Arabidopsis thaliana: one gene and its partner. The protein of the gene in region 1 interacts with the protein of each later gene in a pairwise test. Each region holds a gene or a part of one and is shown on either strand. Other genes may lie near its edges.

Region 1 (5,495 bases):
CTAGGTCATCGTTGGAGGTAGGTCGTATATTGAGATAGGCAGTTTAGAGATGAGGTGGCAGGTTGGTGACGAGCTGGCAGGTAGGCGAAGAGCTGGACGAACTTAGTTACGAGGCGAACTGGTTGATAGACAACGAGTTAGACGAACTGAGTATTTGAGTGACGAGCTGGTAGCCAGGGGCCAAGCTCGACGAAATGTAGTAGAGAGACGAGTCGGACAAATCGAGTTGTCTGGTGAAAATCTAGACGAGCTGGGAGACGAGATAGGCGGACTGTGTAGTCAATGGACGAACTGACAGCTAGGCGAGGAGATAGATGAGTTAACTTGAGGGACGAGCTGCTGACTAGGTGAGGAATTGGACGAACTGACTAGCTGACAGCTAGGCGAGGAGATGGTCGTTGAGTCATGTGGAGCTTGAAGACGATCTGAAGAACTTAAAGACGAGCTGTAGAGCTTAAAGACGAGCTGAGGAGCTTGAGGACCAGCTGAGGAGCTTGATGACGAGCTGTGGAGCTTGAAGACGAGCTGAGGAACTTGAGGACGAGCTGAGTAGCTTGAGGACGAGCAGAGGAGCTTGAGAACGAGCTAAGGAGATTGAGGACGAGCTGAGGAGCTTGATGGCGATCTGAGTACCTTGAGGACGAGCTGAGGAGCTAGAGAACGAGCTGAGGAGCTTGAAGACGTTTTAATATGGATTTCTTCCTCCTTTTTTCCATGCCTCTCTATTTATAGAAAAACTAAGCTCACTACATAAAAGGTATAATATGGTACTTTAACCTTGATCATTGTGACGTTGGTCTCCACCATATTGGCATAGCAGCTAACGGAGGCCAGCAATCTACATGTATGTCATGCTATTATTATGTAGAGGAAGGACTGAAGAGGGAAAAACCTATATGAGCCAACTTGAATGGGCTAAAGACACCACCATGGCTGAAACGTGTTGGAAACAAATCAAAACTTCACTAAATGGGATTAGAGTGGCGAGAAAAAGATTGTACATGATATCACTTCGCAACATGAAACCCCCCGACGTGTGCCATCCAAGAGATTTGGACAACACATGTGAGAAATGTTTTTTCTACAAACAAATGTTTAAGTTTATTTTTATGGTATAACTTAAACAAAACATTTAGAGAGTTGGAAACTGTTTTTAAAAAATTCCCTATAATGTTTGAGCAGTGAACTATCACAAAGACTCAAAACAAAGTTATTACTCTTATTTCTTTTGCTTTAATGTGTGTCTTTCCTTGCTGTTGTAAGGAAATTTATATTTACAATAAAATCAAACTTTTAATTAATTATCTAAGCATATCGTACTTTCAATGTTAATATTGTTATAATCCAACTCTTTTTGGCTAATTCGCGAAGAGACGTTGAAAAGTGAAATCTTCCCAAAACCAAAGAGTAGTTTCTAAGATTTTAACAGAGACACAAAGAGAAAAAACAAATGGGCGGGTTCATATTGGGCCAAAATTAACAATGGCAACGATGTGTAAAATAACTTCGTCGTTAGTCTCTGTTCTTCGCTATCCTCTGCAGCAACCGCTTAATACGAGAGAGAGAGAGAGATTTCCATTGTATTTTTAATTTAAAATAAAATATATAAAAACAAGACCAATGTAACAAATGCATTGCTTAGATATATATAACTCTAAAAAATATTCTTACAAGATAGTAAGTTTGGTCTATTGTCCTATAAATTCTAGCATATAACTGGTAACAATATGAAAAAAAAATGTAAAACTATACATAGATTACAAAAATGTAGAAATCAAAAAATAAGATTAGCAAATAACAAAGATATTCACCTTTTAATCAAAGATCAGTAAAAAAAATCGAAGTTATAATTACATACTAACAAAACCAAAAACAAACCACCAACGCGCGTGTCTCCTCCCTAGTTAATTAAAGGCAAAAGGAAGACGAGTAACACGTGGCAAATACTCTATCTGTAGCCGTCATAAAAAAAATTGTGGGACCCTACACCCTATAAATCAAGAACTACTGGTTGTTCGCCAGCGAATTAACTAAAATATTTAATAAACATAAGAAATGACAAGTTTAGCCCTCTTTCCATAGGCATAACATGGTGGCTAATTTGGGAATTTCAGCAGCATTCGGAGTCAAAATAACGATAGCGCGTGTCGGTGAAATCGCGGTATACGCGCGTCGATAGCCGCCAGGAGAATCCTTTTTTTACACAATCAAAGAGAGAGATCCCGTAAATGTTTTATACTCTGATTTCTAGGGTTTGCTTTTGATTCTCTTTCGCGTTCCAGATAAATAAATCCTTTTGTGGAATAATTTCGTGATTTCGTTTGTGGGTTATCCGAATTTTGTCTGAATTTGAGTTTTTGAGAAGGAAAGGTTTGTTTTTTCGGGGGATGGTGGAAATGAGGAAATCTGGAGGTTTAAGACCGGAGTCTGAATCGGCGGCCAGGTGCCGAGATGAGCTACCGGTGAAATTGGAGATTGCTGAAGATGATTTAGAAGAAGAGCATGGTCCTCTCAACAAACGATCTAGGGTTTGTTTATTTCTCTCCTTTTGTTTTTTTCTTCTCAGATGAGCTGATCTAATTCAGTTTCTGCGATAATTCAATAGCAATTCTTAGCATGCAGTGATGGTTTTATATTTAGCTGGTTGTGAATTGTTTGGTGATGTATTTTTTTTAATTATTGATTGTTGCATTGAATTTAGTTATGGAGTCCTGGGACAAGCTCATCGACAATGGCACCAGCTAAGTATAACCCGCTTGATGAGCCGAGTCCTCTTGGATTGAGTCTTAAGAAGAGTCCATCTTTGTTGGAGTTGATTCAGATGAAGATAACGCATTGTGGTGATCCTAAAGCAGCTGAAACGTTGAAAGCTGGTGCACTTGGCTCTGGTCTTAAGAGAGAAAGTAAAACTATTGCTGCTGCTGCATCAGTTGGACCGACTTTGGCGCCAGGAAGTATTGAGAAGCTGAAAGCTTCTAACTTTCCTGCTTCGCTTTTGAAGATCGGGCAGTGGGAGGTGAGTCCTGCGAAATGTTTCGTTTTGATATGTTTTCATGGTGGTTTCAAAATCTGACTTGACTTGGTTTCTTTTTTTGTGCAGTATAAATCGAGGTATGAAGGTGATTTGGTGGCAAAGTGTTACTTTGCTAAACACAAACTTGTTTGGGAAGTGTTGGAACAAGGTCTTAAGAGTAAAATCGAGATCCAGTGGTCAGATATTATGGCTTTGAAGGCAAACTGTCCTGAAGACGGACCTGGAACTTTGACTCTCGTGGTATAACATTCACTCATGTTCTTTTCTTTTGCTCAACATATCACTCTTGTTCAACTTTAATGATTTGACTCTTTATGTTTCAGCTTGCTAGACAGCCCTTATTTTTCCGGGAAACAAACCCACAGCCTAGAAAGCATACCTTGTGGCAGGCGACATCAGATTTCACTGATGGCCAAGCCAGCATGAACAGGTACAGGCATTTCATGTAAATTTTTTCTGAATAAATTTGGTGATGTCCTAGCTTCAGCTAACGATAGTCTCCCTGTGATCTGTTAGGCAGCATTTTCTGCAATGTGCTCAAGGGATAATGAACAAACATTTTGAAAAGCTCGTTCAATGTGATCATCGTCTGTTCCATCTAAGCCGACAGCCGGAGATAGCTATTGACTCTCCCTACTTTGATGCACGGCAATCTATTTTTGAGGATCCAAGTGAATCAAAAGGCCATCCTTTTGGGAATTTGAATCTTAGTACAGGTCCTTCGATCTCTGGGACTCAGAATTTAGCATCTCCTGTTGGGGCTCAGTCATCATCTGAGCATATGTATCTGTCTCATGAAGCACCATCACCCAGCTCAGGTATTATGATGACTGCTCGCTCATTCTAGTTGCTTTCATAACTCGTTATTAGAATATAATTTTTCATTTTCACTTTTGTTGAACCTGATTAGGATTGTGGATTTATATTTCTGTTTGTTTGCTTCGTTCATCTCTAGTGATAGATGCTCGTGCAAATGAAGGAATTGGGGGTTCTGAAGCAGTCAATTCAAGAAACAGAACAGATTGTGGTCAGATCGAAGCACCTGGAATACACCAATCTATGTCACTGAGTGATTTCCTTGCGGTTCTCTGTGATACAAAAAACACAACGGATTTGAATCTGGCTGACGACGTAGATGGACTACACCAATCTATGTCAGTTAGTGATTTCGTTGCATATTTATCTGATTCAAGAAACATAACTGATTCAGATCAGATAAAAGTACCTGGACTACACCAATCTATGTCAGTGAGCGATTTCGTTGGACTTCTCTCTGATTCTGCTGGTGGAAGTCATCCGGAACATATGGAGAAATTTGAGATCATGAAACAGCAGTTGCTAAGTGATAATATCCAGTTCGAGGCACCAGATGAGAAGTCTCTCATGCCAAGGGTTAACTCTTTATTCAACCTCTTGTACAAGGATCCCAACGTCGCTGCAAACTCACAGCTCAATACCGAAATGTCGGTTGGATTGAAGTCTGAACCCAAGGGAATTGTTTCTGACAACAACAACAACAACAACAACAACAACAGAGTTCTTGATACAGCTTCTAGCAGCAAACCACAGGGTATGTTAAGGAAAGACTCATTCAGCGATTTGCTATTACACCTCCCCCGGATCACATCCTTGCCAAAGTTCTTGTCCAACATTTCAGAAGAAGATGGTGATGCATATAATAGATAATTTATAGATACCGCCTTTCTTTTCTGGATTTGGCAAGTATAGGAACCTGGACTAGTAGCTTTTCTGTTTTTTTTTTCTTGTAAATCAAAATTATCACTTGGTAACTACAACCCCCACAGGGATTTGAAGAAACATGTTTTGATGATTAATTTCTGTATATTATTCCCAATATAAACCAAAGTTGGCAGAGGCAAAAGATTCCATTATTTATCCTAAAACTTTTTTATTTTCTCGTAATATTTAGTAATCTTTTTATTACAGCATTCAAATTATAGCAGAGTATGTACAATACAAGGAGAAAAGATTAAACTAAGATCAGTGATCATCAGCTGTACATAAAGAAGAAAGATATGAAAATAAAAGAAAGTTAAAGAAGAGACAAATGAAACCCACAAATCATATAAAGGGGCTGTCTGGTTTTAGATTGTGTTATTTGAATTCAAAGTATTTACATTTTTTGTTCTTTTTTGGGGGGAGGGGGTTTCTTCCATCACGTCTATCTGCTGCCTTAGGAACAAGCAAAAGGATCAGGAAGCTTGTTGATGAATAGCAGTGTCAGGAAGCATTGCTATTGTCACTATGAAGTATTCACATCCTGAAGAGAGACCATAAGGGTTTGATGTTGTTGTTGCTGAAGTTGATGTTGAGATTGAACTTGATGCCAGAGTTCTCGAGCCCTGGTCTGAGCAGAGATGATGTGTCTTACCCGCCTCAGGAGAAGCAGAAGCTGAAAGTTGTGATGGCAGTTTCACTATTTGGCGCTCTATGTGGACAA
Region 2 (4,407 bases), on another chromosome or scaffold:
TGGATAAGGAAGTATCTTAGGTAAAAGAAATAAGTGGATGAGAGAGAATAGGCGTCTTGGTTTGTAATCTTGTTGACGAGGAGAGGGAATGAGAGAGAAAGTGATCATGAATAGGGTTTGAATTTGATTCGAGGGAATAGTTGCTGTTTCAGGACTCAAATTGAGAGGTCCACATGATGAGGAATATGTGTAGTTTTATTTAATGTCTGAATTTGATGGATCCTTCTGAAACCTTTGATTTCGACAAAACACCCACAATGTGTTTGTCTCTCACTTCTTTACGTAACCTTTGTAGATTCTCTCACTCTCTCTCATGTCCATTTGCGCCACGTCACTCAGATGGTTGTACCATTTGCGATTATTTGATCTCAATGTGGATTGTTATACGTGACATGTCATCGTCCTATTGGTTTAGAATCAAAAACTTTAATCTCCCGCGTCCCCTTACCCAACCAAAAAACTATTGATGATCACTTTGCCTTTTTTTTGGCCGTCCATTATTGTAACGTATACTACACTTGTCATGGTGGTACGACTATACCCAAATTAATACTTTGAGGAGTCAATTACGTAGATGATTAAATTATGAATATTATCTGGAAGAGATCGACGACATTTGGTTGGTGTAATCAACTTTTTCGGGGGTTTGTGTCATTCATAAATAACAAAAATTTCAGAAGAAAAAGAACTAAGTTAATCATTAGACAGAAATTTCAATAGCGTAACTTCAAAAAACTAATTATAAAAAAACAAAATCAACTGTGTAACTTACGTCAGATGTAATGTTTATTAGATGTAATAGGTTCCACTAATCCATATCAATATTATCATTTATGAGATGGAGTGGGATTTTGTCTTTTATGCTACATTAACAAGTACATGATAATTTCTGGGTTTCTTTTACCGGTCTTAATATTAATAAACATGTTGGTATGCATGGTTAAGAGTTAGGACTTAATTAGGAGGAGGCTCATACATATATGACAGAACTGAAAAATTCAGTAGCAAACATTTATCTATAACATGTCGTGTAAATTACGTTGGTTCTTTTTACGACAGAGGTTTACTAATGTATATGGATTATCTCATACTCATAATATGTAGTTACAATATATATATATATATATATATATATATATATATATTATAACTTTTTTGAATCTAGATTATATTCAAAGAAAAAAGAAACATTTATACATGTGAATGCAAAATGCAAACTTTTTAAAAAACAAATTACAAAGATTTTCTATCCTTAATGTTGCTCGATGCAAACCACGTTTGGATCTCATCCGCATATTTCTTCACTTCTCCTTTTCTTAAAGTGCTCAAGTGATTTCAAATGTTCTTATCAATCAACTTACCAGTTATATATTTTATATGCATGGTATTCCCTATTTAAACAAGTTCAACATTCCTTTAACAAAAAGAAAAAGAAAAAGGAAAACAAGTTCATGCCTCTCTTGCCTCACCTTAAGAGTAGACGTACCGATGTTCAGGGGCGACCTAGGCCTCTAATACGTCTTCTTATGATATTTCAATTGTCAAATCGATGGTCACACAACGGTAGTCATCGTAGATATACATTTGATATGTTTGTTACAACAGTTATCTTTTCTTTATTAATGGTAAGCCTTAACATAAGTGTTAAGACTTATGATTATATGCCTTGTATATTTCGCACTATGGTTTTATATTGTTTCAAAAGGAATTCGGTGAGTTACAATTGTTGAAGTCATTATTTTATTTGCCATTTTTTAAAGTATCAATCCTTTAAAATTCCGAATTTATCGTTTACTCTCCTTTTATGTAATCATGTGCTCTTAGAGCCAATACAACTAACTTTCATTTTCTTATATAAGTTAAAACATTAACAAATAGGTATAGATTTAATTTCTAGAAGATTATGGAAATTAAAACACGACTAAGTGTTTTTTTGCAGAAAATGTATAGAGAGAGAGGGGCCATGGATCACGTGGAGGATGCGTGAGATGGAAATGAAAAAACGAAGGGAGAAGAGAGAAAGAGTGATTTTACAAATCTCCTCTAATCCTTTCTCAGCCAATTATGATCAATCTCCCACGTGGGGCTTCTGGCCCCATGCATGCATATCATCTTTCAACTATTCACTCTTTTGTCTCCTTCTTCATCTTTTTGCGTGATCTTCTTCTATATATGGCTGTCTTTATCTCCACAAGTGGCTTTTAGAAAGAAGACTCTCTTTTAAGTTTGGGTGTTAATTCTAGGGTTTCCATTAACAATGGCAGATTCTTCTTCTGCTTCTTACATTCACATGGTAATATTATATTGATTCAAGAACCTCATGTACTTCTCCGGCCGTCGATTCTATGAATGATCTTATCTATTTATCTTTTACGTATGTACCTCAATATCTTTGGATGTGTGTATGTATGTATAGGTGCAGCACATGATAGAGAAATGTTTGATCTTCCATATGAGCAAAGAAGAGTGTGTGGAAGCTCTCTCTAAGCATGCAAACATCACTCCTGTCATCACCTCTACTGGTTTTAATTCCTCTCTCTCTCTCTCCTCTTTTTTAATACTTTTTACCTTTCCGTAATCCTTATAAACACACAAACATATCTGTACCTATGTACTCTCTAACGGGATTAATTATATGTATAAATTATGGAGCTATCATCATATTATGATACCATCATTTAGAATTTGATCATGTAATATGTACTTAATTAGCTACAGATAGGATCTAGCGTGATGGATCGATCTTCAATATTTCTATTCATATAAGTGCTCATGCATAATCAAATTAATGATTATATACACTGACTTGACTACCTGGCGACTAGAACTTATACATATACAAAAAAAGCCAAAGAAAATATAAAAATCCTTGCAACATATATATCCGGCCTATATATTTTGTTATCATAATATTAATGAATTGGAACAAAATAAATGACAGTGTGGAAGGAGCTGGAGAAAGAGAACAAGGAATTCTTCAAGGCGTATGAGGAGAGGCAAAGCAAACAAGAGCAAATGTCGGAGGAAGAGACAAACCAGATGATCCAGAAGATTATCTCGGATTCATCTAAAGAATCCGACGACTGATCGCGATGTTCGATCGTTAGATTTCGAAAACCTTATAGTTTATATATATGAATCTCATGAAAACGATTTATCCCTGACGCATGCATGTTTATAAGTAAATCGTTTTTTCATCTTAGCATCGGTCCAACAAGCAAGACAGCAAAAAAAGGAGTGATGACACTCTTTTTGGTACGTTATACGTACGTGGTCCACATAATATTGCCTCTGTTTAATTATATATAATGAAACGGACGCTAGCTCATACATGGATCGATGGTGTGGTGTTTTAATTGAATGTATCGTGTGTATATATTTTCAAATAAACTATTTATTTCGGGTTTTGGTCACCTTAAAAGGCTTTAGCACTCTTGGAAATTTTGTATCATGGTTTCCATATGCTTGCAAGTTTCGGAACCCAAAAGTCCAGATTTTAGCCAGATCAGTAAAAACGTTGATCAGCTGTTTTTTGGTCCATGATCGGCTGTTTTTTTTTTGGGGAACGTCTATGCAGCCATTTTTGTTTTTAATAGAAATTTCTTCAAATTGAAAATTTACATTAATTAAACAAAAACAATAACATGGAGAAAAAGTTCTTGAACAATATCCAATTAATTTGCGATTAAGTGGTCAAAATGTGTCCGATCCTATGATCAGCCCATAACTTGAACGTTGTTAATTTGTTATACCTTGTGCAGAAATGTCTTTTTGGGTCAAAGTTCATAAGAAAACTCTCACTTAACATGCGTTGTTAAGTGAGTGACTACTCACAAGAGTAGTAACACGTTTCAATTTCCAGCCCACGTAAATCTAGACTACATGGCTCCTATGTAATAATTCTTTCTTTTTGTTGGTAAGTAAACAAAAAATTATAAAAAGGATTTATTCTTACGTTAACTTGATATAAAAATGGAATTTCGAGAGTATATAGTATATACAAACGAATAAATAGACCGGTTGAAATGCAAAAGGTATGTATTTGCCAAAAAACAGAGAGTTTTGAATATAAAGAATTAAAGACAAAGATTGTCATTTAACTTTCTTTTTTTCAGTACAGTAAACGTGCACAACACAATATAGACCACACATTAAACTTATAAAGAAGAACATACAAACGAAACAGAGGAATTTTCTTTCAACAAATGCCATAACTCTTCAAGCTTTGTAGTATGTAAGATAAACACTGAAATGGAGAATGGTATCATGACCATCAGTAACATGTTGGTCTTCCTGGTTGTGTAGAGTCTCCACGACAGCATACCCTTTAGCATGCTCGAATCTCCCAGTTCCACCCACAACAGCGATATGCGACGCATGAGAAGCGGTTCGGTGAACCCCAAAGAA

What was found.
Region 2: the proteins of AT4G30780 (region 1) and AT3G55240 interact in a two-hybrid assay, tested with the Arabidopsis thaliana proteins (one large-scale study listed by BioGRID).

Annotation. Positions count from the first base shown.
Region 1 is NC_003075.7:14,988,136-14,993,630, forward strand, and holds AT4G30780 (ATP-dependent DNA helicase), read left to right. Parts: upstream 1-2,150; 5' UTR 2,151-2,387; coding exon 2,388-2,528; intron 2,529-2,701; coding exon 2,702-3,016; intron 3,017-3,100; coding exon 3,101-3,274; intron 3,275-3,357; coding exon 3,358-3,464; intron 3,465-3,550; coding exon 3,551-3,852; intron 3,853-3,989; coding exon 3,990-4,720; 3' UTR 4,721-4,950; downstream 4,951-5,495. Other genes in the region: AT4G30790 (autophagy-like protein), read right to left, coding at 5,248-5,495.
Region 2 is NC_003074.8:20,472,556-20,476,962, reverse strand, and holds AT3G55240 (Plant protein 1589 of unknown function), read left to right. Parts: upstream 1-1,630; 5' UTR 1,631-2,257; coding exon 2,258-2,293; intron 2,294-2,416; coding exon 2,417-2,522; intron 2,523-2,941; coding exon 2,942-3,087; 3' UTR 3,088-3,628; downstream 3,629-4,407. Other genes in the region: AT3G55230 (Disease resistance-responsive (dirigent-like protein) family protein), read right to left, coding at 4,219-4,407.